Linked DNA regions of Sus scrofa. The main gene of each other region encodes a partner of the protein of the gene in region 4 in a complex. Links are inferred from orthologs where the notes say so. Each region holds a gene or a part of one and is shown on either strand. Other genes may lie near its edges. The genes, in order: TMEM107, TMEM17, TMEM216, TMEM231 and TMEM67.

Region 1 (6,180 bases), on a different chromosome or scaffold from region 4:
ACAACCTGTCCATAACGTTTGTAAAAATCAAAAAGTCATCTTTCACAAATTGGTAGAGCACATCATTGGTGAAACCCAAACTGCAGTGGGATGTGACTTTCCTAGTCAAGCTACAACTGTGGCCCACAATGTCCACCCCCCCTGCCCATCTGCTTCAGGCACACTCCACGACCTCACTCAAATTGCTCCTGGAGAAGCAACACTTGTACCACTTTGGGCAAATTAATCCCTACTCCATAGCCTCCATAGTCGCCTTTATAGCATTTATCATAATTCGCTATTAAATTACTCTGAGAATACTAGAAATTGTCTCTTGTCTGCCTCCATGAGCCATATCTATCATGCATCTGTGAGGGCCAAGGCGAGTACCGAGCATATTCACATTTATTCCCTCAGTACTACAGCGCTCTGCATATAGGAATTGCTCAGTTTTTGTTTTTTGCTTGGTTTTGTTTTTTGAGTGATAGTAAGAATGAAAGGCTGCCAGAAGGGACAGAGAGCTAGGATAAAATTATCTGTGTGTAGGCATCACCAGAAAGCATCTCCAGGGATGGCTGGGCTCCACCATTCCACTCAGTAATGAATCTAAACATGACCCTGAGAATACACATGCTTTAACACCGACCTTCAGACTCCTGCAGTCTGTGTATATAATGCGAAGCAGCATTCTCTTGAACGTGTTGTCATCACCACCTCCCAGGCAGCAGCAGCAGGGAGTTCCCTGCAGACTACTGAGTGGATTCAGAACCTGGACCAACCTTCCGGTGGAAACTGCAGCCATTGAGACTAAAAAGGAAGCCTGCTCCGCGGCAGAAGGGATTTGAGGAGTTAGCACTACACTAACATCCGCGACAAGAGCCACAATTGAAAAGAAAGTACTAGCAAGAAATAGGAAGTACAACGTCTTCCCTACAACAACAGCTTTCTAACCGTGAAGACTCTGATAAAAAGCGCTGATCGTCAGGAAGAATCAGATAGGAGCAATCAGGGTGTTGCAAGTCCTGATTACGCAGAGCCGTTAATCACGAATCATGCGAGCTCCAATCATCATTTTCCATTCTGCCCTCCCGAAGGAGGAACAGGTAAGGATTATCCTACCTGACGATAAGAACGTTTAGCGTGACATTCCGCACTCTGGGAAAAAGATTCCTCTCAAAGATAGGATGAGTAAACACTGCGTTGGTCCGAGCAACTAAGCCTACTTGGGTTCTTCTGTATATTTTGGTACATTTATTTCCAAATGTTTTAAAATAAGTTTTTCCATTTGGCTATCAAAAATGGATAAGCTAATTCCTCCCAGAATGCTCCACTCACTTACCAGCCGGGTGTCCCACCCGTAAGTACCGCCTTATTTACATATCCCCGCCCACCCTCCCGCCAGACTTCTACCGTAATAACCAAAATAAAAGCGAATATACTATTTTACAGTCCGCAGGCCTAGAAAACAGCCATCACTTTGGCCACCCCAATTTTCATCTGAAATTTTTATAAGTCGATCATATTCTAAAAATATATTTATTACAAAGAACTATAAGCAAAGCACACATAATTTCAGACTCGAGAGATAATTACTATTACACTGATACCCTCCATGACGCAGTTTTGGAGGAAGAGCTGGAGCCTCTGACTTCCTTCTTCCAGGAACGGTGAGCGATCCCTCGCTCTTCCAGCCTTCATCCGTACTTCCGGTCATGAAGGTATCAGAAAGGTTTCTTTTTCAGCCCAAAGACGCTGATGAATAACGCTATTTCAGTGACGGCTGGGAGGGCACTGCGGAAGATAGGTGGTGGTTTCGGGGTCCCCTTCATCCAATAAAAAAATCCAAATCCCCAAGCCAGAGATACCACCCCCAAATGTAGGAGGGAGGGGACTTCAAAAAAGGATGTTGAGTGGATCTGATATTTTATACATGGAGTAAAGAGCTGGGTGAGGGAAATCTTCAGATTTAGAGTTAATGTTGCTTTCCCATGCCCAAACATTGGGTGCTACCGTACCTGCAGAAGACAAAAATGTACCAGTACGTGGTGCATTCCCAACGCTCAAATATGAAAAAGGACAGGGCCACAGATGCACTACAGTGAGCCCCAATGGCTTGGAACACACTAGAGTCAAGGAAATCCTTTGGATCAATAGGTAGTAATGGGTCAGAAAAGGCCGGTTTGGGGGCTGGCATCTACATTCAGGTTTACATCCTAGGAAGCGGGGCACCTCTTGCTCCTCTTACCACACTGCAAAGGCCAGAGCCAGCAGCCCTGAATCCTGAGTTTTAGGGCAGCCATGTGAGTAGAGGAGCTGAGTCTGCACAGCTGGGACCTTAAGCAACCCCCACCCCATATCTAGCCTGGACCGTTCAGGTGAGGTAGTAGCCTCCCCATCTGTTCCAAGCACTCTGTGACCTTTTACTCTCTGCTGGAATCACTTTCCAGCACCCTGGTCCTCCCTGACCACAATTCAAGTACCAAAGCCTTCCCTAATCCATCTCCCTCACGTCCTCTGTCTCGTCTGTGTCCCCACAAGCTTCATATCTTTACACATCCCGTGGCACAGTGCTTATCACACGGAATTACAGATGTCTGTCTGTGTCTAACTCTTCCTCAAGGTAGAAAATTGTGTTTTACTCCCATTTTGAGATCTCCAGTGACTGATGTATAGCAGGAGCTTAACAGATGCCCAAAGATTGTATTAAATCTCCCACAGTGCCTAAGAAGATTTCTCAACTGGAGGGACTCTGTTTGCCTACTAGAACAAACACCAATGTACCAGAAAGGCCTAGTTAGGTGGCGGAGAGGAGCTGTGATGAAAATGGCCGGTGCAGGAAAGGTGCACGGAAGAAAGGATACAGATGAGGCTCTGGGTGCTGTTGAACATGGAAACTCCTGAGAAGAAACCGACCAGCTCCACTGCAAAGAGGCCCAGGGTGACAGAAAGCGCTGCCACCAGCCTGCAGAAAGGAAGGGTGTGGGCTTAGGCCTCTTGAACTTTTTCTAAGACCCCTTCACTTCCACGACTGCTTAATTCTGACCACCCTGCCCCAGGTGCTCACTGAATATCCTGCTTCTCATACTCCTCAGGGGTGAACGTGAGAGGCAGGCAGGCCTGGATGTTGCTGTCCTGAGGAGCAGGGCAGAAAGAAAGAAGTTGAGAGAGGGGCGGCGGTGGCGGGGTGGGGGCGGGGGGGGGAGCACCCGACCGGGTAAGCCCCCGGGGAGAGGCGTAGAGTGGGGCCAGGACCACTCCAAGGTGGGAGCGTGGACTAACGGAGCGGGGCCGTGGGTCTTACCCTGGACCAGAATAAGGTGATGACGACCACCAGATGCGCCAGGAGCGTCAGGAAGCGAGAGGGCACGAGCCCCGAGACCCGGCTCATGGCCCCCAGGGGACGGGGTACTGCCTGGAGCAGAGGCCGGGGTTTCTAGGGCTGGAAACTCGGGGAGGGCCAGTCCTCAAGTCTCCTAGGCTAGCAGACAAAAATTCGACGTTCGCCTCCTTCCCGCTCGCGCTGGCACCGCCCAGTTGCCTTGGTAACTGCGGTAGCTGGTGCTGCGACCGGATCTCTGAAAATCTCGCGAGAGCATTAAACTGTCAAGCAGCTGCGTGCCGTCGCGGGACTGCAAGTCAGGTTGCGTCGTACTTGATTCCGGCGGGAGGCCGATTATCCGTTGCCTGGTCACTAGCAGCCGAGCGGTCAGCACCGAGTGTGCGGTGGCGCTGCCCTGCATCGTCCAGTCTGCCCGCGCAGCGCCGGCGAACGGAAACCCTCCGGGCCTAGCCTGGGACCCCCCCCTTCTCCGGATGCCCACGCCGGGTGCAGCCCGACCCCCAACCCCTGCTGCGTTGTCCCGGATGAACCTCCGGACACGGCTGTCTGTGCCTGAGGCCTGGATGCTCTCTCTCCTTCCCTCCTCCGCATTCCTTTAGCTCCCACGTGCCCTGGGCCGAACGTGGAGAGGTGGATGTGCCTATGTTGTCCGGCTGCCACTTGTTGTCCCAGAGCCCCTGGTCGTTGGAGGACCCCATACCTGCACCTTCGTTGATTCTAGTTCCCCCTCCCTCACGCCCCAGACACCTTTGCTCAGACTGGTGAGGGATTTGCACATCGCGGAAAGTGGCCCGCTCTCTTGGACTAGGGTGTGCCCCAAGAAGTGTGTTTGGGGAAGAGAGGGAACAAAGAGGACCAGAAAGGGCTGGGGATGGGGGTGGAGGCAGGGAATGAGACCTTGCGTCCCCGGGAGGCCAGGAGCGAGGGTGTCGATGCAGACTCTGCAAGGATTTCCTTATCTCTTTGAGGCGTGGGCACTTGACTTTGCCCAGCTACTATCCAAGCATCTCTCACTATCAGCGACCTCCCTGACCTTTGGGCCTCAAAAGGGTTCCAGGCAGAACGGAAAGTTCTGGCCGGAGTTCATTTCTCATATGCACAACCTCACAGGGACCTCCCTACCCTCTTACCGGATCATCGCTCTTCTTCCCGTTGCCAATGATAATAATCAATAAAGGATCTAAAATAAGAATTGAAGAAAATTTCATTTGAGCCAAACTACTGAGTAGCCCTGAATCTGCTTCCCATATCACTCTTAGAAACTGCTCAGAAGATGCATGATTTCCAGCACTGTATTATATCCTGTCAGAACAAAGAATATTAAACAAGTCGGGGCTGCAATTCTTCAAGATTGAAAAAAAAAAAAAAAGAACAGGCCAGCACCTACGCAGTGAGTTAGTATGTCCTTGGCACCTGGGAAGGGAGTCTTATCATCCAGGGAGTGCCAGCACTGGCACCCCAGGAAGAGGGCACATTATTTTTAACAATGGGTATTCTTTTCTTCTGGTTCCTGTGCCTGTTTCTATAACAATTAAAGCAGATGTGGAATGTTTGACAGGCCACAAATAGGCTTTCGTGTGTGTGTGTGTGTGTGTGTGTGTGTGTGTGTGTGTGTGTGTGTGTGTGTCTTTTTAGGGCCGCACCTGCGGCATATGAAAGTTCCCAGGCTAAGGATTGAATCTGAGCTGCGCCACAGCCACACAGGATCCGAGCCGCATCTGCAACCGACACCACAGGCCACAGACAACGCTGGATCCTTAACCCACTGAGCGAAGCCAGGGATTGTATCCACTGTCCTCATGGATACTAGTCGGGTTCATTAACCACTGAGCCACCACGGGGACCTCCCAAAGAGGCTATTTTAGTTAGCATAAAATTCAGGTTAACTCATGTGTCAGCCAGAATGTCTTCCCTAGATCTCAATGTGTGACAACTTATTTTATCAATTTTATCAATACTCTCCATCTTATGCTTCTAGGCTGATTTAAACGACAAGCCCAAGAGGCATTTTTTATTTCTTCATTCATTCAACAAATACTCATTGACCAGCTAGTAAGTCCCAGGCACTGTGCTGGGCTCTTGTACTTGAGAAACAGACAGAAGTCTCTACCTTTGTGGGGGTCAGAGAGACTGACATGAAATATGAAAACAAATAATGAATCTGCATGATAATAGCACCATAAAGAAAAAATATTTAAAGGGAAATATTAGAATAATGTGGTCAAGGAAAATGTCTTTGAAAATGGGTCGTTTGGGGGAGTTCCCATTGTGGTGAAGCAGAAAGGAACCTGAATAGTATCCATGAGGATGTGGGTTCGATGCCTGGCCTTGCTCAGTGGGTGTGGTGTAGGTACCAGATGTGGCTTGGATCTCACGTTGCTGTGGCTGTGGTGTAGGGCAGCAGCTATAGCTCCAGTTCGACCCCTAGCCTGGGAACCTCCATATGCTGCGGCTTTGGCCCTAAAAGAGGGGGGAAATGAAGAAGAAAAGGGGTTGTTTTTTCTTAAACTTTGTTTTAGGTAATGTGGTCAGGAATGCGAGGAAATGCTTTTCTCTCTGTGAAATAAAGGGATTTCCTTCTACTAAACCAGTGGGTGAGGGGTGGAGGCATAAATTGGGAGTTTGGGATTAACATATACATAATTACTGTATATGTAATAGATAACCAAGGACCTACTGTATAGCACAAGGAAGTATATCCAATATTTTGTAATAACCTACAAGGGAAAAGAATCTGAAAAAGAAATCAGTTATATATGTACAACTGAATCACTTTTCTGCACACCTGGAAATAACACAACACTGTAAATCAACTCTGTCAATAGTAAATACATAAACCAGTCTCGGTGAAAAAACTTAGA
Region 2 (5,966 bases), on a different chromosome or scaffold from region 4:
CCCTAAAAAACAAAACAAAAACAAGCAAACAAACCCCCAATCACCCTAAGTTATAATTAAACTCACCCTTTTTCAGGCATACTGAGGCTTTGGAGTCCAAGTAAACCCAGAACTCCCCAAATGCCCTCAGAACTCTGGATGCCATTTTAGGACTCTTTGAGCCTTAATTTCTTTATCTGTAAAATGGTAATATTAAAATCACCTCACAGGTTGTTTGTGAGGATTAAAGATAATAGAAATTACTTCACTATAGAACCCTGCCTGGCCCTCAGTAGGCACTCAATAAATATTAGTCTCCTAATTCCTTCTCTTTGTTGACTTATACACAAACTCACTGTAACCACAGACCACAATATACTCAAATTTGAGACCCTCACAGAACATAGCATCTTGCTTTACACAAGGTAAAGACCAAATACAAATAAGTAGAAAGAATTAAGGACATTAGCAGTACAGCCATTCATGATACATGAATGAGTTTCATTTATCTAAAGTTGATTATAGCTGCAGCTGCCAGTCTACACCACAGCGACGCCAGATCCGAGCAGCATCTGTGACCTACATCACAGCTCACAACAACTCCAGATCCTTAACCCACTGAGCAAGGCCAGGGATTGAACCCATAACATCATAGTTCCTAGTGGGATTCGTTTCCACTGTGCCACAATGGAAACTCCAAGAATTTGATTTTTAAAATTGAGCCCCCCTACAAGGCAGCTCTGTGGCACAACTGATAGTACATTGGATTTTTAATGGATAAGCAATGAGGTCCTACTGTATTGCACAGGGAAATATATCTGGTCTCTAGGGATAGACCATGATGGAAGATATGAAAAGGAATGTGTGTGTGTGTGTGTGTGTGTGTGTATATATGTATATATATTTATATATATGTGTATATATATATATATGACTGGGTCACTTTGCTATACAGCAGAAATTTGGCACAACACTCTAAATCAACTATCCTTTGTTTTTTTAAAAAGGAAAAAATATAAAAAGACTTTATAAATTAGAAACAAATGAGCCCTACAAATGCATCCTAAATTTGACTAAAAATTCTAACAATTTAAGAACAGATAACATACTTTGAAATCCACAGTTCTAAAAGAATGGATTTACAAAGACTAAATTTTTTTTTTTTTTTTTTTAGGGCTGCCATAGGAAGTTCTCATGCTAGGGATCAAATCGGAGCTATAGCCACTGGCCTACACCACAGACACAGCAACTCGGGATCTGATCGAGTCTGGGACCTACCCCACAGCTCATGGCAACACTAGATCCTTAATCCACTGAGCGAGGCCAGGGATAGAACCCGCATCCTCATGGACCCTAGTTGGGTTCGTTAACTGCTGAAGGCTCTAAAATTTCTTAAAAGTATATTTTTATTTTTCTCTATAGCTGAGTATTTTATATCTATCATTTAACAATTTTAAAATGTAAAATAATCACAGTCTCTCATAGCAAGGTTTTCTTTAGCTCCAAGAATATCCCTCGTTATTATGATCTACTTTTTAAACATTGTGTGATTATGATCTACTTTTGCTTGTACTTATTGATTAAATTGCCACTGATCAAGGCATGCATTCTTAAAATCTGTTAAATCTGAAGATAACTCACCTGCCTAGGATTTTTTTTCATAACAACCATACAACTCTTGGTCAGCTGTGGACAAGGTCATAATATACCCTTGTATTTACAGTACAAATAATCGAACCTATTTCAGATCCACAAAGAGGAAAATGTGGAAAAATATGATAAATTAGTTAAGCTGAAAATTTTAATAACTTTAGAGCAAACACTGTAGTCAAATTTTGCAAAGAAGTTATTATGTTAAGAATTTTGTACACAAGCCTCTTAAGAGTTATGCTATGTCTATATTTCAGAGATCAAACTTATAATCATGCAGTTGAAAATCAAGTTAATATGTAAATGAACTTTGAAAGCAAGCACAAGACATGAATTTACTAAATTTTGCAAAAGTACAAGTTGAGTTCTATAAATGGAATTTAAATTAAAACATTTTATAGTATAAATCAGGGGTAGGCAGACTACCAGCCAGCTGCCTGTTTTTGTATAGCAAGTGAGCTAAAAATGGTTTTTTCACATTTTTAAATGGCTGAGAAAAAATATCAAAGAATAATATTTTGCGACACTGAAAATCATAGGAAATTCAAATTTTAGCATCCATAAATAAAGTTTTATTGGAACACTGCCAAGTCCATTCAATTACCATCATCTATGGCTGCTACATGCATCTATGGCCTGCAAGGTCTCAAATATTTACTATCTGGCCCTTTACAGAAAACCCCTGATACTTTACATCATCAGATTTTAGTGCCTGTTAAGCTTTAGAATCAGAAATGTAAAAGTCAATTTTTTTTTCACATTATGTTTTTCTCTGTACATCCTAAATCATGGAGGCTTAAATTGGAGGGACAGGCTAGTAATCAGCGTGGAAAATGAAACTATGGGAACAGACTTCTCTCTGCCTCCTTAAAAAAAAAAAAAAAAAAAAAAAAAAAATCCCTAAACCAAGCAAAAGGAAAAGATTTCTATTTCCCAGCACAGTTCAGTGATAAAAAGCGCACGGGTTTGGTTCACAGTATGTTGTCTATCATCATGATTTAAGAGGGGGAAACTGCAGGAAACTGCGTTGTCACTTGTCATGTTGAATGTAGCATCATGGTATTCTGTTACTTGATTTAGGGCAAGAGTTATATATAGGGAAGGAGAAGAAAGCAGGGAGAGGGTGAGTTTTGTTGGAGACGATGCTAGTGTGGCAGCTGCCACTCTGAATTGGATAGCGTTTAAAATAGTTCATTAAAACAAAAACAAAAACTTTTCATGCTTTCTGCCAGAAAACGGACTTGTGGTGGAACATACTTGTTCTGGTAGAAAAGAAAAAAAGGAAAAGATATTTTACTGGGGTTGGGGGTGGGGTGGGACGGGGAGATTGCCTGGGCTGTTTTCACTCCATCCTGGACATAATATGCCAGGGCGGATGCCGCAGAGGAAAAGCAAAGTCGGCCTTCTCAGCCTTCTCGGAGGGCGCGGGACTGGACGCGGAATGCGAAGGCGGGTTTTGTTCTTGTATTTTTTGAGGAAGGCTGGCGCCACGTCGGCCGCCCCTCTTGCAATTCGCCCGCGAGGCTACAGCACCATCAGCCGAAGACCGCCTGGGTATTTGGCCCCGAATATCTGGTCCTAGCCCCAGCCCCAGGCCCAGCCCCTCCTCCAAGGAGCCTCCCGCACTGCGGTGAACTCTCTGAAGACGAAACCGCCATCTTTGGTCTGGGCAAAATCTGGCCGCTCCACGCGCTGCGCTGAGCCTCGGCCACTCACCCGGACCCTCGCTATACTCCGGCCCGGTCCGGTTGGAGTCGCTGAACACGGTCCGGCTGAAGTTTCCCAGCCGCTGGCGGACCGGATCCGGCAGCTCCATGCTCAGGCCTCAGTACTGCTCCCACCTGGGTCTTCGGGCACCGTGGCGCTTTGAGGTTCCCACAGCAACCGGGCCGCGCGAGGCTGGGGGCTGGGGCGCACGCGCGGCCCCGCTGCGGGCTGAGGCGCCAGGCAGCCCTGGAAGATAGAGGAGTGCAGGGAGCCAGTTCCTGCCCAGCGCCTCAGCATGATGCCAAACCGCAGATTCCTAAGTCCTGCTTTAACGGCCACCATTTTAAAAAAGGAATAAAAATAATAATTAGTGACTAGAGTTGGATTGTGATACAAGGAGCTCTAAGACCTTGCCAGTGGGATACAATCTTTCTGGGAGAAAATATAGAATGAATGCTGAGTTAACAGACTGTTCATGACCCAGTAGCTTGTGTGTGTGTGTGTGTGTGTGTGTGTGTGTGTGTGTGTGTGTGATATTATTACATCCTAGGAATATTTTTTAATATATGCATGCCGTATGTATACAGACACATATGTATGTATACACATACATACTCTCTTATAGGAATACGTTATATATTAGGAATATTATATATATATACATAGCATATATATACGATACACATATATATTGGGTGAAATACATTGAAGCAGTTTAAAAGCATGTTTGCAATGAATATTTAATGATGGGTTAACTTTAAATTAAAAAAAACCAGAAGTAAAACTAAGTAGGAATGAACCTAATTTAGTAAAATGTGTGTGTGTAAATATATGGGGAGCAGAGAGGGGGAGAAGATGGCACAAGCACTGTGGCTTCAAAAGAAGACTAGAAGAAAATAATCCAAAATGTTAGTAGTAATGTCTAGATAGTGATTGTGGGTGATTTAAAAAATTTAAAATAGGAATTCCTGTTGTGGCTCGGGGGTTTAAGAACCCAACATAGTCTCTGTGAGGATGTGGGTTGGGACCCTGGCCTTGGTTGGTTAGAGATCCGGAGTTGCTGTGGCATAGGCCTGCAGCTGCAGCTCCAATTAGACCCCTAGCCAGGAAACTTCCATATGTCACAGGTGTTGCTATAAAAAGAAAAAAAAATTTAACCACTTAGTATTTTTCTAGCTTTCCCTCAAATAAGATGTATCGTTTCAGACAGACAGACAAACAAACAAACAGACAAACTGGTTAGGTACAATTATGTACAGAAAAGTGTACAAACTGAATATACAGGTGTAACAAGAACCCAGATCAAGAAATGTAACTTTGGAGTTTCAGTTGTGGCACAGTGGAAACAAATCCCACTAGGAACCACGAGGTTGCGGGTTCAATTCCTGGCCTTGCTTAGGATCTGGTGTTGCCTTGAGCTGTGGTGTTGGTTGCAGATGCGGCTTGGATCCTGTGTTGCTGTGGCATAGGCCTTCAGCTGTAGCTCGGATTGGACTCCTAGCCTGGGAGCCTCCATATGCCATGGGTGTGGCCCTAAAAAGCAAAGAAAAAGAAAAAAAAAAAAAGAAACTTAACTTTACCAGTACCCTCAGAAGCTCTCCCTTCCTATTTCCTTGCAGTCACTAACCCTCCACTTCTAACTAACCTTTCCTGACTTCTAATACCATAGAATAGTTTTGCCTATTTTTATTCTTTATATAAAAGTAATCATACAGCAAGTGCTTTAAAAAAAGAAAAAAAAAATAAAAGCTGACTTTTTGCCCTCTTTCCTTGCGGTGTGACCACACCACAGTAAGTTTGTGCAATCTACTGTTGATGAGCATCTGTGTATTTTCTAGTTTGGAGCTATTGTGCATAGTGCCGCTTTTGGTGAATATATGTCTTTTTGTGAACATATGTATGTATTTTTGTTGAACTTATCTCTAGGAATGAAATTGCTGGCTTATGAGGTATGACCCAACTTTAAAAGATCTTGCCAACAGTTTTCCAACGTGGTGGTACCAATTTCTACTACCTCCAGTAATGTACGAACATTTCTGTTGCTCCAAATCTGTCATCAGTCCTTGTTTTCCATACTTTCCTTTTAGCCATTCTGATGGGTATGTGGTAGACTATTATTTTTACTTCATAAAAGAAAGCCACACTTATGTATATAAATGTCAAGAGCAAGGTATTGGAGGAAATAGCTACAATAGGTAGCATTTCAAAATAATTCAACAAATGTTAATTGCCTTCCTACTGCTTTTGGGCATTGTCCTAGACTAATTAGTGGTATAGTCCCTCCCCATCAAGAAAATCAGCCAAGTGAGAGACATGGAAACAAATAAGTAGAGCACACTTCAGTAATTAACATAGATGAGAAAGCAACTAATTCTGGTCTGGGATGTTGGAGGCGGGGGAAAAGCTGGCTAACTTCTGCTTCTCTTCAAGGTGGAGCTCAGGCCTCAGCATCTCCAAAAAGGTTTCAAGGACCTCCCTGAAGCTGGTTTAAGTGCCCTCCTCTGTGTTTGTCAAAGCATCTTCCTCTCTGTTACTTTGCTCACAGTGCCAGTCACTCTGTACTGTACTTGTCTATTTATGTCTGTTTCTCTTGCTGGTTCACAAGCTCTTTGAGGTCAGGAATGGGCTTT
Region 3 (6,217 bases), on a different chromosome or scaffold from region 4:
CTCGCTCAGTGGATTAAGGTTCTGGCATGAGCTGTGGTGTAGGTCACAGATGTGACTCGGATCCCGAGTTGCTGTGGCTGTGGTGTAGGCCATCAGCTACAGTTCAGATTCGACACCTAACATGGGAACTTCCACAGGTGTGGCCCTAAAAAAAAAGCAAAAACAAACAAACAAACAAAAAAACTATTAGCCAAAAGGCTGCACTTATTTATATTTATATCCCATAAATAAATGGGATATAAATACCCACATGAGTGCAGGAACAGAGACTTGTTCCTCAAACAGGCATTTGAATTCTGGGTATTTGGAAATCTTTTTAATCTGATGGGTAAAAATGTCACCTTGTTTTTCCAATTTGCTTTTTATTAGTGAGTTTGGGCATTTTATAATGTTTACTGGTCCTTTGTGATTCTTCTTTTTTTTTGCCATTTCTTGGGCCGATCCCGCTGCATATGGAGTTTCGCAGCTAGGGAGCTGTAGCCTCTGGCCTACACCAGAGCCATAGCAATGCGGGATCTGAGCCACGTCTGCGACCCACACCACAGCTCACGGCAACACCAGATCCTTAACCCACTGAGCAAGAGCAGGGATCGAACCCACAACCTCATGGATACTAGTCAGGCACATTGCCATTGAGCCACAACAGAAACTCCCAGTGCACTTTTTTTTAGGGCCACACCCACGGCATATGGAGGTCCCCAGGCTAGGGGCTGAAATGGAGAAGCTGCAGCTACCAGCCACAGCCACAGCCACACAGGATCTGAGCCATGTCTGCGACCTACACCACAGCTCACGGCAACACTGGATCCTTAACCCACTGAGCGGGGCCGGGAATTGAGCCCGTATCCTCATGGATACTAGTTGGGTTCTTAACCTGCTGAGCCACAAAGGGAACTCCTCCCTTGCTAATTTTTAAAACGAGGTTATCTTTTTCTTAGTTCTTTATGTGAACCTCTTTTTGTTGAAGTTATTTTTTTCCCTCAGTGTATGTTTTAACACCGTTTTCAGGGATGAGGTAACTCATGAGGGATTGCTCTGTACCTCCGGGGATGTAAACTTGTCCTAGAGAAATCCTTTTTCAGAGAACCGGAGGGGACCTTATTGCTGATCTACTGCCCTGGACATGGAGTTACAACGAAATCTCTTCTCCCAAGAAACCAGTGAGAGGAACCAGGCACTCCTGTAGTTAGATAATCGGGAAGGAATGATCTAATATCTCATGCCGCCACCCACCTGTGGCGCAACAGAGCAATAGACAGGTAAGTCTTGACCCCAAGTATGAAGCCGCCTGAAACTTCAGAGAGGGTGTAACGGGATATGCCACCAGATCCACTCTCTCATTGTGAGCCAAGGTTAAGTGCTTTTCTTTGTTCATCAAGTTACAGATACCAGCTCATCTCGCAAGGAATGGAAATAGCCTCTGGACAACACTCACCAAAAAACAGTCGAATTGCTTCAATGCCAAGATAAAGGAAGAGCATCACCACATCCAGGACCAGATTGGCTGTTGGATATGGTAGCAGGAGACCTGCGATACAAAAGCCAGAGTTTGCAAACAACGTCGAACAGCACACACAAGGTCTCCCACTCACTTGGGAATAAAGAGAACATGAGTCTTATCATGTTCTCTTCCCATGAGCTACTTACTGAGATACGGGCAGGATCCGTTAACTCATGGTGCGGCTATGTCTGTTAGAGGCAGGCTCGTAATTATGGGCTTTTACTCCTAACTCCAAGAGTCTGTGGGGCTCTACTGCATATGGAATGGATGGGTGGTCAGTGGGGACCTGCTATTTATAGCACAGGGAACTCTACTCAGTATTCTGTGATAACCTACATGGGAAAAGAATCTGGAAAGGAATGGAGATGTGGATATGTGTAAATGAATCACTCTGTTGTACAGCAGAAATTATCGCAACATTGCAAATCAATTTATAGTTGCAATCACTATACTTCAATAAAACCTTAAAAAAAAAAAAGATTCTGTGGGGACGCCACTCTCCAGTTATCAGATCAGATGTACACGGATATACGGCGCTGAATAGCTTCTGAGGGTCACCAATGGGCTTAAAGTGGAGTTCAGCAAAGAGAGGTGACAGGGGAGAGTCAGAAGGGAGAAGCCCCCATTTCCCAAACTCAAGAAATTCTTGCTGAGTGGCTTCCTACTGAATCATTCTCAAGGAAGCCATCTGATGAAGAGACCTTGCAGTGAAGAAGAGCTGCAGGGGAGCAGAAAAGAATGAAAAAATAAGGCTTTGGGTGGGAGCTGGCTCTGGGCTGAAGTGGGGAAGGGATGTTGGGGAAAGGGTAGTTAAACCCCAGACCTTACCTTTATACAGAAATATGAAGAGTTCCAGCAGGAAATAGGTAGCATAATACCACCCGTTCAGAAAGAAGAGGATTTCCAGGGGGGTGGAAGATAACCGTTTACCTGAAAATAGGAGCACAGAGAAAAGAGACGGGCTGGAGGGCAGGCAGCTCAACCCCAGTTATTTGAATGGTTCTGTGTCTAACTTGGAGGAAACAGGAGGCCGCAGCTGGTGGAAAGGGCCACTGGCGGCACTTCTGATTGTTGATGAGAAGGTGTCTGTGTGGTGTGTGTGTGTGTGTGTGTGCACGCGCGTGTGCGTACGGAGTGTGGAGGGGTTTCAGCTGACAGAAAGGGTCCCTGGGGGCACTTCTGTTTGCTGATGAGGAGTGAGTGTGTGTGTGTGTTTCCTTCAATCTCCTCCTTTCCAGAATCGCCATCAAACTCTACCGCTTCGGCTTTGGGGGTGAAAGTCAGGGATCTAACCTCGTCGCTATTTAGGAAGGAAAACTGGGACCCAGAGACAGCACTGGCCAGTGTGAAGCCACGCTGCAAATTCCTATTGAGCCGGCCTAGAACAGGCTGAGCCAAGGATTTGGGGGTATTTGAGACCCACATCTCGAGACCTTCTGGCACTCAGGGTAGGTGAGGCTGCTAAACCCTGCTGTGGACAAGTGAGGAGAATGGAGGGTTCAGGTCGACGCTGGGAGAGGAGGGCGGGGTGGGGGGGGAAACTGAAGGGATCAGGACCAGCAACTCACACACCTCCAGAACCTCACCTCGCGGCGCCATCTTCAGTCCCCATGGAAACTGCATACGCGGCTACAGCACTCCTGGAGCAGCGAGGCGTTGCCGGAAGCGAGGGACGGAGCGGCCCTGGATTCGGGCCCTTCTATCCGCCTGCTGCACTCGATGGTTACCTGGGGCCGGGGGCACTCTTGTGACGGCCACGCCTGCGCCGGGAGGAGCGCGGGCCGCGAACCGACTTCGCTGGGGTTTTGGCAGAGGACTGATAAGAAAGCAGATGATGTCGTCTGCAGGACTCCGAGGGCGGGGCAGTTTTCGCCCCGCCCCCATCCCAAATTTACCAGGAATTGTTCGAAGCAGCCAGTAGTGGTAATGTGATCAGAGTTGGTGAATAGGCCCTGGTCCCATGGTTTCTTTACTAACATGGGTCTTAAAATGAGAAATAGTGTGCGCGACAGTGCGCTGCAAATGCGGCGTGGAGTTTGGGGATCCTTTGTGTAAACAGTCTTTTTCTGAGGGGAGGGGATGCGGGGGTAGGGTTTTTCTATGCATCTGATTTATGTACCAGGGAGTTAGAAGATACCAAAGTTGGAGTTTCCCTTGTGGCTCAGCGGAAAGGAACCTGACTGGTATCTATGAGGATGCAAGTTGGATCCTTGGCCTTGCTCAGTGGGTTAAGGATCCAGCGCTGTGGTTAACTGTGGTGTAGGTTGCAGACGTGGCCAGGATCCCAGGTTGCTGTGGCATAGACTGGCAGCTACAGCTTCAATTCGACCCCCAGCCTGGGAACATCCATGTGCCACGGCTGCGGCCCTAAAAACTAAAAAGACAAACAAAATAAAAAAAATAAAAAGAAGAAGAAGAAGGTACCAAAGTTAGTCGGAACTGGAGGCTCCTTTCAAGGAGCATAAATAAGAGCAAAAGATGAAATATAATCAGCACTTGACCCCAATGTGCAGTGGCAGTTGAGAAGACAAAGTACTCTCGGTAGGGGTTGGGAGACGTTTCCAAGACATGGCCTGTAAACTGGGCTTTGAAACTTGTTATGATTTGGAGCAGTAAAAATGTGTTACCCCACAGGGCAGGGGACTAGGAAGAAGGGTTGTTTTTTGCTTTTTTAAAATTTTGTTTATTGTAGTTGATACAATGTTCTGTCAATTTCTGCTGTACAGTAAAGTGACCCAGTTACACATATACATACATTCTTTTTCTTACATTTTCCTCCATCATGTTCCATCACAGGAAGAAGGGGTTTGAATGGACTCAGGGTGACATAGGGGTTAGCCCACTGTCAGGAAGGGTAGGACAGGAAAAAGATGTCACACTTGTAGACTTTTAAAAAATGCGCAATGTGAGAATTGTGAGTTAAATTTTTGGGCCGTCAAAGTGAGGACTATAGCCTGGGAGGCAGCATTTCAGATAGCTCTGGAAAAAAAAATGCTCCAAAAAAGTGGGGGCAATGCCAGTATATATGTGATTTTGGTGAAAGGGGTGGTACAATTTAGCAGAAAGTTACTCTCCTTTGGTGAAGTTTCCCGCTAGTCATGAGGAGCAGGCATCACCATGAAGGATTTTAGCGCTTTTCTAGATATGAGGAGATGCCAGGATTGGGTTCATAAAGTCTTCTCCCCAAAACACCTATCTGAAGACCTGTTTCTTCCAGTTTTTTTGGGGGGGACACAGCCACATCCATGAAATACATCTGCTTTCATGTAATAGGCTTTCATGCTTTCAGGCTGAGTCGTTGCATCACTTGTTAGGACTATATGGCTCACAGGCTTAAATATTTACAATCTGGCCCTTTAAGTAAAATTTTGCTGACTCCTGTCATAGACAGCAAGGAGTAGCTCCCATCGGTGCTAAAAATAGGCAATAAGATTGAAATAACAAACACAGGAGCATCATTGTGGCATCCTGGTTCCCTGGTACCCAGGGCCTATGAGTAACACAATGAGCTTGAGTTCGGCAGTGAGAGACCTTGGTTCTTATCTTCCTTGGGGGAAGAATTCAGCAAGGTGACCAAGACCGTGAAGCAGGTGCAGTTTATTAAAAGCACAGTATGGAGAGTTCCTGTTGTGGCATAGCTGAAACGAATTTGACTTTTATCCATGAGGATGTGCTTCCATTCCTAGCCTTGCTCAGTGGGTTGGAGATCCGGCATCACCGTGAGCTGCAGTGTAGGTCAGAGACAAGGCTTGGATCCTGAGTTGCTGTGGCTGTGGCGTAGGTCGGCAGCTGTGGCTCTGATTCAGCTCCTAGCCTGGGAACTTTTATATGCCTCAGGTGTAGCCCTAAAAAAGCAAAAATAAAGTACAGTATGTGTGGCATTCCCTGGTAGCTCAGTGGGTTAAAGATACAGTGTTGTCACTGCTGTGGCTCAAGTTCAATCCCTGGCCTGTCACTACTGTGGCTCAGGTTCAATGCACACCACAAGTGTGGCCAATTAAAAAAAAGCACAGTACATGTGAAAGAGCACACAGGGGTGAGCTTACAGAAAGAGCTGTGTACAATAAGAGTGGCTTCTATAGCTTTTATGGGGGGCCAGTGCTCCAAGTTGTCAGGAGTGGGGTGTTGTCTCTAGCCAACTATCTTGTTTGTGCCCATATTTCTACTGACTCAGGGTCCTTCCTGGTGGCATGTGCATCTTTTGCTGATATATATATATATATATATATATATATATTTATTTATTTATTTTTTTATTTTTTTCATTATAGTTGGCTTACAGTGTTCTGTGAATTTCTGTCAATTTTCTACTGTATAGTAGGGTGACCCAGTTACACATACATGTATAGATTCTTTTTTCTCACATTATCATGCTCCATCATAAGTGATTAGACATAGTTCCCAGTGCTGCACAGCAGGATATGATTGCTTGTCCATTCCAAAGGCAATAGTCTGCATCTATTAACCCCAAGTTCCCAATCCATCCCGCTCCCTCCCCCTCAGCAACCACACATCTATTCTCCAAGTCCATGAGTGGAAGGGTTCATTTGTGATATCATATGGTATTTGTCTTTCTCTTTTTGACTTACTTCACTCAGGATGAGAGTCTCTAGTTCTATCAATGTTGCTTGCTGCAAATGGCATTATGTCGTTCTTTTTTGTGGCTGAGTAGTATTCCACTATGCATATATACCACATATTCCTAATCCAATCATC
Region 4 (6,177 bases):
AAATCGCAAGACACACACACACACCAGAAGCTGGGGGTTGGTGGGCAGTGATCCTGAGGGAGTGGTTTCTGTTTACCGAGATAAGAGGCTAACTAGCAGTACCGCTGGGAAGCCAACCGGTTGTGGAAGATGAACAGGTGAATAAAACTGAGAAATGAAATATTGCCTGCCTGCCTTATCAGTAAACAAAGGATGTCACAGAGATTGCAGTCACCTCTGAAGGGGAGCCCTGAGGGAACTCAGGAAGGAAGCTAAGAATACCTGCCTTCGAACAGCCATCAGGCTGCAGCCACACCGGATGGCGAGCCCTCAGGAGGTGAAAAGCCAGAGAGCTGAGGTGCCCAACAGAGGAATGGTTTCACTGAGCCCTGACTCTTCCATCTTCCCAATACAAAGAAATGTGCTAAATTTCTTGAGATATCTAGTTTTTTTTTGGGGGGGGGTGCTGTACTCCCATATGGAGGCTCCCAGGCTAGGGGTGAAATCGGAGCTGTAGCTGCTGGTCTACACCACAGCCACAGCCACACCAGAGCCGAGCTGTCTGTGACCTACACCACAGCTCATGGCAACAACGAATCCTTAACCCACTGATCGAGGCCAGGGATCAAACCTGGTCCACATGGATGCCAGTCAGATTCGTTTCCACTGAGCCATGACGGGAACGCCCTGGTTTTCTTTTATTAACAGTAATCTGTGTGCCCTTTGCTGCAAAACTCCTATGTATCCCAGCTCCCCTCCTTTCCTTAGAGTGGGTTTTCTCAGGGTTACCAGAGAAGCGGTCTCCTGGGCTTAAGTCCTCAGTTTTGTCTACTGAATATAAAACAGAACTCTCAACTTTTAGGTTGAGCAAATTTTTTTTTTTTGTCTTTTCTAGAGCCGCACCTGTGGCATATGGAGGTTCCCAGGCTAGGGGTCCAATGGGAGCTGTAGCTGCCGACCTATGCCAGAGCCACAGCAACGTGGGATCCGAGCCGCGTCTGCAACCTACACCACAGCTCACGGCCACGCCGGATCCTTAACCCACTAAGCAAGGCCAGGGATGGAACCCGAAACCTCACGGTTCCCAGTCAGATTCGTAAACCACTGAGCCACGATGGGAACTCCTCCTTACTGTGTTTTTTATTTGCTTGCGTAGTTTTCTGTGTACTTTTACAATTTCAACATACAGTTTCTATTCCAATTTCTCACAATGTGATGTTTAAAAGTAAAAGCAAATCAAATATCCACCAACAGGAAACTGGTTAAATCCATTACCACTTTCTGTATCGATTACTTTGCAGACCTTAAAAAGAAGTTTGATTAACAAATATTGATACATGGGAAGTTCCTATTGTGGCTCAGTGGTGATGAGCCTGATAGTATCCATGAGGATGTGGGTTTGATTCCTGGCCTCACTCAGTGGGTTAAAGATCCCGAGTTGCCATGAGCTGTGAGGTAGGTCACAGATGTGGCTGATGTGGCTTGGATCCTGCTCTGCTGTGCCACAGGCTGGCAGTTGAAGCTCCAATTCAACCCCCAGCCTGGGAACTTCCATATGTCCCAGGTGTGGTCCAAAAAAAAAAATGAGACATGCAATTCTAGACATACTGAGTCTACCCACATGGAATTAGGTCTAGCAGGGGAGAGATGAGAAATAAATGAATTATACACAAATACTGATATATGTGCCAAACTGGGTCTTTAATTTTATGTCATTATATATACCTGTAACTCTTTAATAATTTACAAGGAGAATTCATAATCATAAAAAAGGTAAGGAAAGTTAAATATTCATAAAAAATCTGAATCCTATTTTGCTTGTGGTTATTCATATGAACAGTCAGATTACTTTTTTTTTCATTTTATTAAGTTGCTGGGAAAAATCTTATTTTTTTTTTTTCAGCTACACCAATTTGGCTGTAGGCCAATCATCTCAGAGGTGTCTAAAGAGATCCAACTTTGAAAGAAGAAAATCCAGAATTTTCCTACTTTCAAAGGAAAATGTCTCCTGAAAATGAGCGTAAAGGGGTGGGTGACTATAAAGGAAGCATTCACTTACCTCGAATCAGACACTAGATTACAGGCAGTAAAAAACTTCGTTTTCACCCCCAGACGGCGGCAGGATGCAGCAGCATCTCAGGAGGCAAGCCCAGGGAGGCTGGACTGGGCCAGCAACAGTCTGGGGAGGTCACTTAACCAATCAGCGCCTCTGCTTCCACATGTCAGTCTGCCTAAAAATACCCGCCCTTTTTGTTGCTACTGCTTGCTGAAGCACAAGCCAGCTGCAAGAACGAGTAATTAAAGAGAGCATTAGACATTCGCGTCATGGCTCAGCGCTTAACAAGTCTGACTAGCATCCGTGAGGACGCAGGTTCAATTCCTGACCTCCCGCACAGGGTTACGGATCCGGGACCTGGCGTTGCCATGAGCTGTGGTGTAGGTCGCAGACGCGTCTCAGATGCCTCTTTGCTCTGGCCCTGGCTTGGGCTGGCGGCTACAGCTCTGATTAGACCCCTAACCTGGGAACCTCCATATGCTGCGGGTGCGGCCCTAAAAAAAAAAAAAAAACAGAAAAACCAAAAAAAAAAAAAAAAAAAAAAAGAGAGAGAGAACGTCAACTGGCTTTCACGACTCAGCAACTTTCGCGACCACGCTTCCATCAGGCCACGCCCACGGAAATGGGGGCCAGAGACAGGCTGTCCGCAGGCTATCAGTCTCTGTGTGGGACACACACCCTGACAGCAGTGACTAATTTTCTCGGGGGTGGTGGACGGCTTGGAGAATTCGAATATTACAAAATATTTACTCCCCAGGAAATTAAATATAAGCTTAGGCCAATGAGCCTGTACACACAACTTCTGTGGATTCGTAACTCCTTCAGACCCAAGCAGGGCCCCCAGGGACAAGGACCCGGACCGCCCAGCTTCCTCCCACGCATGCCCCTATCCCCATCTCCATCCATACACCCGCCCAGAACCACGCACCGAAACGAGCGGGACGCGCAGGTGATCCCCCTGCAGTCGGTTGAAGGCAGGGAACGTGCTCCAGGCCAGGAATCCGCCGTGCGCGTGCTCAGGTCCCAGCAAGGCCACGAGCAGCACTTGGTGCTGGAAGCGTACGGTCGGCTGCTCCTCGTAGCTACTCCGTTTCAGCCAAAACCCTGAGGTAAAGAGGGCAGGAGGCAGAGGGGAAGAGGTTAGGGAGGCCGGCGGGAGCACCGGGGAGAATCCTGTCGCGCACTGGCCTTCAGGCAGGCTCACCGTGGCTCCGGAAGGCCACCAGCAGCGGTGGGATGTACGTGAGGGCGGTGGCCAGCAGCAGGAACAGCGCGGCCTTGGAGCAGAGCCCCGCGCGGTAGCCGCGCTCCACCGGGTGAGAAAAGAGTTCGTGGAGCGCCATGAGCACAGGTCGGAGTCGGGCTGCGCGTCCCGGACCCCTCCGCGGTTCCAGAGACTCGACCAACTTTGGCTTCTCCTGGTTGCCATAGCCTTGGTCTCCACGGCAACCGCAGGCGCGGGGAAAGGAACCAATAGCAAGGAAGCTGGCTTTGGTGGGGGTGGGGCTAACGGGGGGCGGTACCCACTGGTGGATCGTAGTCCTAGCTTTAAGCGTTAGGCGCCCTTTCCTATAAGCTGAGCAGAAATGGAATGTTCCGTGCCCCCAAATCTTAGCATCGCCCTTGTTAACATTTGTGTCAAATTAGATTTTCATAAATATTAAAGTAAATACCTGCATAAGTGTCATCTGTTAATCCCCAATGTGGTTCACTGTACACTGAGTCCAGTAACGGCACACCTTACATTGGAGGAAAACAGTGTGGTCCTGGACCTGGTCACTCCTTTGTATCCAAATGTACCTTTTTTCTTTCTTTCTTTTCACTTTTATTTATTTATTTGTTTGTTTGTTTTTAGGGCCGCATCCGCAGGCATATGGAAGTTCCCGGGCTAGGGGTCAAATAAGAGCTGCAACTGCCGCCTACAGCACAGTTCCAGCAACACAGGTTCTGAGCTGCGTCTGTGACCTACACCACAGGCCATGGCAATGCCAGTTCCTTAACCCACTGAGCGAGGCTAGTGATCCAATCCACATCCTCATGGATGCTAGTCAGGTCCCTTACCACTGAGCCAGGGCAGGAACCCCTGTCTCCAAATTTTCTAATGCTTTCACTAGTCCATAGCAAGACAGACACCGAAACAGGTCACAAAGCACCCTGCTCTTCAAGGGATAAGGATAATTACTATATAGCTCTACTATACTATGTTATAGTTGAGCACAGGCTTGACGACCTGTTTTGGGGAAGCTCTGGCCCTCTGCAAAGTTAACCTTGGTGTGTCACTTCATTAAAAGCTCTCCCTAGTATTTCAAACAAGGCAGAAGGATCTTTTTTTTTTTAAGGGCCATACCCATGGCATATGGAGGTTCCCAGGTTAGGGGTCAAATTGGACCTACAGCTGCCAGCTTATGCCACAGGCATGGCAATGCAGGATCCAAGCCATGTCTGCAACTTACACCATAGGTCATGGCAACACCAGATCCCTAACCCACTGAGGGAGGCCAGGGATCAAATGGATCCTCATGGATACCAGTCTGATTCGTTTCCACTGGACCACAATGGGAACTCCCAGGATTTTTTTTTAACACGTTCAACAGCCAACTTCTTTATCAAAAGGACCCGAAGAATCAAATGTCAGTGCCAAGAGATAGTGTGAGGTTTGTTATCAGAATGGAGTCCAGCAGTAGACGCTCCTATTTCAAAACCAACCTAGAAGTGCTTTTGTCTTCTAGTTTCATTGGGATATAACTGACATACAGCACCATATAAGTTTAAGGTGTACAACATAATGATTTGACTTACATACATCATAAAATGATTACAATAAGTTTAGTGAACCCTTCACCTCATATAGAAAATTAAATAGAAAATATTTTTCCTTATAATAAGATCTCTTAGGATTTATTCTCTTTCTTTCATATGTAACCCAGTGCAGTGTTAATTATATTTATCATGTTGTACCTTATATCCCTAGTACTTATCTTGTAACTGCAAGTTTGTACCTTCTTTTCATCCAATCCCCTCTTCCCTCCACCCTGATTCTGGTAGCCACAAATCTGATCTCTTTTTTTAATGAGTTTGTTTATTTTTGGAAGTATAAGTGACCTACAACCCTATTAGTTCCTGTTTCACAGTATGAAGTATTTCTACACATTTCTTTTTTTTTTTTTTTTTTTTTTTTTTTTTGGTCCTTTTAGTGCCGCACTTGCGGCACATGGAAGTTCCCAGGCTGAGGGCCCTGAGCCACAAGGGGAACTCAAGTATACCTATACATTTAAAAACGATCACCATGAGAAGTCTAGTTACCATAACCTAGAAGTGGGTTGTAGATGAGGAAAACAGCTGAGATCCTAACAACACAGAGAGAGGTCAAGACCTCCCTTATGCGAGAACTATCCAGAGTCCAAGCTGACAATGTCAGCAGCCATAAGATGTTTCTGACATATCTGGTCCCGTACTATATATTCTTGCTTTAAAGCTTTTCTGAGGTAGCAACACAGCTGTAAAAAATTGATAGGCTTAAATCTATGTTGCGATTCTGACCTATTGTATCTGTGCTTTAAGCGAATGTCTTTCATTTATATAACCATTAAAATAAAATTTAGAGGCGTTCCTTTGTGGCTCAGTGGGTTAAGGATCTGGCAGTTGTCACTGCTGTATCATTGGTTAGAGTTTTGGGGTAGGTTCAGTCCCTGGCCCGGGAACTTCCCCAGGCCATGGGTGCCGCCACAAAATTTAAAAATTTAGGGAGTTCCCATCGTGGCTCAGCGGTTATGAACCCGACTAGTATCCATGAGGACACAGGTTTGATCCCTGGCCTCGCTCAGTGAGTCAAGGATCCGGGGTTGCTATGAGCTGTGGTGTAGGTCGCAGGCATGGCTTGGATCCAATATTGCTGTGGCTGTGGTGTAGGCCGGCAGCTACAGCTCCGATTTGACCCCTAGCCTGGGAACGTCCATATGCCTGTGGGTGTGGCCCTAAAAAGACAAAAATAAAATAAAATAAAATAAAAATTTAGAATAGATGATTATTTTTTGTTTGTTTTTTGTCTTTTAGGGCCACACCTGTGGCATATGGAGGTTCCCAGGCTAGGGGTCTAATTGGGGCTGTTGCCACTGGCCTAGCCACAGCAACGTCCAAGCCGC
Region 5 (5,489 bases), on a different chromosome or scaffold from region 4:
GTATATACATTTCCAGCTATGTCTGCTAAAAAGGGCACACTAAGCATGGTAACTATGCTTTCTGAATACTATTTTTAAGAGCTTCGTAGAGAAACAGCTGATTCTGGGGCTGAAGCAGGAAAAGTACAAGTAAGGAAATGCTCAAAGAATGATGGGGATATGTCAAAAAGATATAGGAACCAACTCAAAAGGGCTTCTAATGGCCAAATCTAGGACAATTTGAGCATCAAAACAAGAAATACATATATTGGACTATTAAAAAATGAACAAAATAGGAACCCACACTGTTCTTAATGAACAAATAAATATATAAATGAGAAGGGGAAATTCTTCCTTAGAGTTGAATGTTAATAATGTGGAAGGAGGGAGTTCCCGTCATGGCTCAGTAGTTAACGAATCTGACTAGAACCATGAGGTTGCGGGTTTGATCCCTGGCCTTGTTCAGTGGGTTAAGGATCTGGCATTGCAGTGAGCTGTGGTGTAGGTTGCAGACATGGCTCGGATCCTGCATTGCTGTGGCTCTGGCGTAGGCTGGCGGCTACAGCTCCGATTCGACCCCTAGCCTGGGAACCTCCATATGCTGTGGAAGCAGCCCAAGAAATGGCAAAAAGACAAAAATAATAATAATAATAATAATGTGGAAGGAATGGTAGAAACATTTGGCAACCATCACAGTAGCAGCTGATAAAGGGAAGTGTCATCAGTGGAGACTAAAGCTATTAAGGTTTAGTGAAGAAGTGTAACTTTGGAAACGCTTCTCAAAAATATGAACCAATCACAAAGGGAAAATGGTAACTTTACAGTGCACATGGTGAGTTTATGGCAGGGGATCAAGGTTAACATCACCAGCAGTGGGACAGGGACAGGTAGGCATCATGTGCACCCTGATGTGACACAATGTACTGAGAACAGCACACCTTTTTTGTGGTTTCCTGCCAAGCATGACCTGACTATGAAGAAAGACCAGATGGACCCAGGTTGAGGATTTCGCTCTGGATTTAAAGCCTGAAATCTTTCAAACTGTCAAGCTCAAGGAAGGCAAGAAAATACTGAGGACCCGTTCCAGAGGAAGGAAAATGAAAGGGACATGACCTCCAATTGATTAGTAATCTGAGACCAAATATGAAAAAGAGACATTGTGGGAATTTTTGGCAAAATTAACTAAATTTGAAAAAGGAAAAAGTGAAAATTAAAGGCCTGCTAATTGGATAATGGGAGGAATCACTATAACCCAAGACTGGAGAAGAATGTCCCCAAAGACATGCATCTTATTACAGATGAGCTAATTTTTGGATATGATCTCATGCTCCCTATCTATACACCTATTTTGGCATTTTTTTGTTGTTGCTGCTCTGCAAATACCTGGTACTTGCCAGTTAGGCCACAAGACTACAGCAAAGAGGAATTTTTGCTTTATTCATGAGGATCCCAGATTTTACCCTCATCAAGGCTATCCTTACAGCTCTCCTAGTTACTCTCATTTTCTGCTCATTAACTAACCTCTAGTTAATCATCTAACTTCTATTCTATTGACTTGGTGACCTCTTCAGTTCCAGTTCATGCACTTCCCATTGTACATCCCAGACCGTGTCATCACTGGCTTCTGCTGCAAAAGCTCTAAATCTATGCCCTTGTACTCTCATCAATAAATAAGGAACCATGGACTTCCTTTGTGGCTCGCAGCAGAACTATAAATAAGGAACCTTGCCAGATAAAAATAATCCTCAAATCTCCCGTGACTACCATGTGCAGACACTGTGAGGTAGGTTATTATTATTCCCAATTTACAAATAACAGAACTGAAGTTTAGAAAGCCTAAAGATATAAAACTAATGACAGGAAATCCAGGGTTCAAATCTAGAGTCTTTGGTGCTCTTAACTGTATTAAGCTGCACTCTTTATAGGATCTATAAAGAATCTTTCCAGCTTAAACATTCTGTGATTCACTGAAAAAGAAACAAGCTAAGGGAGAGAAGACGTATAAGTAACGAATAAATTATAATGCTGAGTTGTTAGTCTAATGTTTCTTATTGACTGATAACTGCTGCTTTAAAGTGATTTACACAAATGTTTCTCATTTTACCCCAAATTAAGGACCAAAGGAAGAAATGCAGAAAGATCCTTAACAACAGAACAAAAAAACTGAAGTATACTCACAAGCTCTCCATAACGTGCAGTTGAAATCATATGTGGGGGAAAATTCCCTGTGCTGCTGAAACATAATTCTCCTGTCTTCATAAATAAATAAGAGGGAAAAAAAGTTAATGGAAGAGTATAAGCAATTTAATTTAAAAATATATACATTATAAATTTGATCAGCCTTACTAAAATGTTAGGCTCTGAACATGCACAGGACCTGCTGGTATTAATGAATGTTGGTTCACATCGGACACACCTGTCGATACAACAAAAATAGTTTTGAAAATATTAATGAATTACAGTAGCCCTAATCTAATCAAGAATTTGTCTTCCTGAACACTAGGTGTGAATAGGTTCATTCCACTAAGCAAATAGTTTTAATAAAGTAAACATATTAAAGTATTTTTTCATTTTTTAAAGTTTTATTGCATATTAAAAGTATGAACACTGATTTGAATAGTTTTATACTGTTCTTTGTATTACAAACCAAGGTATAAAAAAATAAAATCAACCAATGATAGGGGAATAGTTTTCTGAAACCACACATAATAGAAAACAAATAACACTGAATAGAAAAGATGGCTAAGTCACTCAATTAACAAAAGAACCCAACAAACTCACATAATGAAACCCAATCCATTTTTATAAGTAGTTATATCAAATATACTTTAATTATTTCTCTGCCACAAAGCAAAAAGGTAATATATGCTAAAAAGACACATGTATCTATCCCCTCATCAAGCCCATAATCAACACTTTAAAAGTTTTTCATTGACTTTACTTATTTTAGGAAAAAATATTGTTCATTAATAAATGATATAGAGGGAGAGAAGGCGTTGGATGAGCATGGATCCTGATGGGTTTCTATGGGTATTCATTACCTGCAAGATAGGACAGGTATGAGAGGAGGCTGGGGCATAGTACGTAGCTCAAACTAGGCTTGGGGAGGTCTAAGAGGGGAAGAAAAAGGGGTCAGCCCAGTAGGCTGTGTTAGGATGCTGCAACTTAGGTCAGCCAGGGAGAAAAGATGATCAACACTAAGTATCCCCAGGAGAAGCTTCTCTAGTATTTTCTATCTTAAATTTGGGAATTGAAGAGAAAACAGTGCTTAGAGGAAGGTCAGCATGTAGGCTTCTAAAAAAATTGAAGAATTTGGAATAGGAATAATGTGGTTAAGTTAGAGATGGAGGGGTGTGTATATGGTGCACAGGATGCATGCATAAACAGGAACAGGAAATGATAGAGAACAGGGCTATAAATCAGGGTACCTGGATATGGTAATTATCACTACATTCATTAATGTATTTTTATGAAATACAATATATATAGTACCCAGTATACAGTAAGTATACTGCAAATAAATGTTACTATCATATACTATATATTAGATTATAGATTATGTACAAAATACCTAATGACAAACAAAAATAGTATCTTTTACTGAGCGCTTACTCTGCAGTACTTAGCTAAGACCCTTAGGTATTTATTTCTGAGCTGTGATAACAGCCTAAGAAGTAGGTGGTATATCCCCATATTAAAGACAAGGAGACTGACTTGCCCAGTGAAGGTCAAACAACCAAAGAGAGACTAAAACAAAATTTAAATCCTATTTTCTCTCATTCTCTGGGCCTAAGCTTCTTTACCTGTTAATATCTACTTCTATCTTTCCTTGGGTTATTGCAAGGAGCAAGAAATATGATTGGGAAGGCAAGACTCTACATAAATATAAGATGATATTAATGAAGTTAGCACCCAGCACACTGCTTACCTGGTTCCTAAAGCATTTGCTACCGTAAAAGAGTTCTCACTGTCATCACAGAGCTTACAAGTTGCTTGGGACAACAATGTTCCATTAACATCTCTTTCCACTAAACAATTTAGAAACAACAAGATATAATTCATAATCAACATATAAGCTTCTATACACTTAGTAAAACCCACCTGTAATATTATTCTAAAACTTCCCATAATGCCTTATTTGCATAAAAGACAGGTCAAGCACCTTCTATTATAATAAATTATCGAAAAGTGAAGCCCTCCCCATTACCACATGAAAAATACAGAAACTAATTTCCAAATCATCATCATCATCATAAGTTAATATATTTTTCTCAGAAAATTTCTTACATCTTACCTACATGTTCTTGTTGTACTGGGTATGGGGAAACAAATATTGACATAGACTGCTGATGTCTTTCACAACTTAAAAGGCTTTTGGTAGTATCTACTCAAATTATTTCATTTTCAGATACCTAACCTACAGAAACACTTGTACATGTGTATAAGAATATTCATCAAAACAATATTTGTTAGGAGTTCCTGTTGTGGCTCAGTGGAAATGAATCCGACTAGTAACCATGAGGATGCAGGTTTGATCCCTGGCCTCGCTCAGGGGGTTAAGGATCCAGCATTGCCATTAGCTGTGGTATAGGTCACAGACATGGCTCGGCTCATGTGTTACTGTGGCTGTGGTACAGGCCAGCAGCTGTAGCTCCGATTAGATCCCTAGCCTTGGAACTTCCATATGCTGTGAGTGCGGCCACAGCATAAAAATAAAGCAAAAAATAACAACAACAACAAAACAATATTTGTTAGAAAATGATCTAAATAGAAAATGCTAATGACATACTATGGAGCAGATATAAAAAGAATGAGGCAGATCTAACAGATCATATTGTTAACTGAAAAAAGTATGCTGCAGAACATTATTTTTGGAATATTTACATAAAAATACCATTTATTTGTCCTGTGGTTACAATGGACATGTTTGTATTAAAAACAGAAAGAAAGAAAAAAGATTCTAGAAGGACACATTCTAGAGTCTACTTCTTACCCAAGATATGGCCAGTAGGACAGTGGCATTTTCCTTCTGCAGTTAAGCCATCAGGGCAAGAAATACAGTTCCAGCCATCTTCAGTAACACCTTTCTAAATTGGAAAAAAAAAAAAAAAAAAAAAAAGATTATTTTCCCCTTCTTGATTAACTTTCTCCTTAATTGATCATGTAAGTTCAAAAAGCCACAACAGTGTATAATTTGAAGGCAATATGTAAAAAAATTATATACATATGAGGCATAAAATTTTCCTAAAGAGCCAATTTGTGCTAAATTTCAAAAATTAAGCTATATATTACTGCCATGTACTGAGTGCTATTAACTCCAGGCAATAGTTCTTTCTTCCTCATGATTTTCAACTCAAAGAACTCCTTACTCTCATAATTAATACTGTCATTCAGTTTTTTCATTTACAAAGATAAAATGCAACAAAATTCAACAGGATTTAATCAATAGACAGCTAGCTAATAATTCAGTCTTATCTGTTTTGTTGTTGTTGTTGTCTTTTTAGGGCTGC

What was found.
Region 1: TMEM231 (region 4) and TMEM107 share a complex: the UniProt entries of both Homo sapiens proteins name them as parts of the tectonic-like complex. The link is inferred for Sus scrofa from reciprocal best matches to the Homo sapiens genes TMEM231 and TMEM107.
Region 2: TMEM231 (region 4) and TMEM17 share a complex: the UniProt entries of both Homo sapiens proteins name them as parts of the tectonic-like complex. The link is inferred for Sus scrofa from reciprocal best matches to the Homo sapiens genes TMEM231 and TMEM17.
Region 3: TMEM231 (region 4) and TMEM216 share a complex: the UniProt entries of both Homo sapiens proteins name them as parts of the tectonic-like complex. The link is inferred for Sus scrofa from reciprocal best matches to the Homo sapiens genes TMEM231 and TMEM216.
Region 5: TMEM231 (region 4) and TMEM67 share a complex: the UniProt entries of both Homo sapiens proteins name them as parts of the tectonic-like complex. The link is inferred for Sus scrofa from reciprocal best matches to the Homo sapiens genes TMEM231 and TMEM67.

What each region holds. Positions count from the first base shown.
Region 1 is NC_010454.4:53,393,554-53,399,733, forward strand, and holds TMEM107 (transmembrane protein 107), read right to left. Parts: upstream 3,512-6,180; 5' UTR 3,368-3,511; coding exon 3,281-3,367; intron 3,112-3,280; coding exon 3,044-3,111; intron 2,942-3,043; coding exon 2,841-2,941; intron 2,092-2,840; coding exon 1,995-2,091; intron 1,771-1,994; coding exon 1,701-1,770; 3' UTR 947-1,700; downstream 1-946. UniProt on the Homo sapiens protein: Plays a role in cilia formation and embryonic patterning. Requires for normal Sonic hedgehog (Shh) signaling in the neural tube and acts in combination with GLI2 and GLI3 to pattern ventral and intermediate neuronal cell types.
Region 2 is NC_010445.4:79,413,302-79,419,267, reverse strand, and holds the start of TMEM17 (transmembrane protein 17), read right to left. Parts: upstream 3,502-5,966; 5' UTR 3,446-3,501; coding exon 3,346-3,445; intron 1-3,345. UniProt on the Homo sapiens protein: Transmembrane component of the tectonic-like complex, a complex localized at the transition zone of primary cilia and acting as a barrier that prevents diffusion of transmembrane proteins between the cilia and plasma membranes.
Region 3 is NC_010444.4:10,118,514-10,124,730, forward strand, and holds the start of TMEM216 (transmembrane protein 216), read right to left. Parts: upstream 3,748-6,217; 5' UTR 3,125-3,747; coding exon 3,088-3,124; exon of another isoform or gene 3,074-3,087; intron 2,432-3,073; coding exon 2,330-2,431; intron 1,754-2,329; exon of another isoform or gene 1,648-1,753; intron 1,529-1,647; coding exon 1,436-1,528; intron 1-1,435. UniProt on the Homo sapiens protein: Part of the tectonic-like complex which is required for tissue-specific ciliogenesis and may regulate ciliary membrane composition.
Region 4 is NC_010448.4:12,137,974-12,144,150, reverse strand, and holds the start of TMEM231 (transmembrane protein 231), read right to left. Parts: upstream 3,835-6,177; 5' UTR 3,465-3,834; coding exon 2,964-3,464; intron 1-2,963. UniProt on the Homo sapiens protein: Transmembrane component of the tectonic-like complex, a complex localized at the transition zone of primary cilia and acting as a barrier that prevents diffusion of transmembrane proteins between the cilia and plasma membranes.
Region 5 is NC_010446.5:42,920,370-42,925,858, forward strand, and holds part of TMEM67 (meckelin), read right to left. Parts: intron 5,067-5,489; coding exon 4,973-5,066; intron 4,008-4,972; coding exon 3,908-4,007; intron 2,396-3,907; coding exon 2,326-2,395; intron 2,233-2,325; coding exon 2,158-2,232; intron 1-2,157. UniProt on the Homo sapiens protein: Required for ciliary structure and function. Part of the tectonic-like complex which is required for tissue-specific ciliogenesis and may regulate ciliary membrane composition.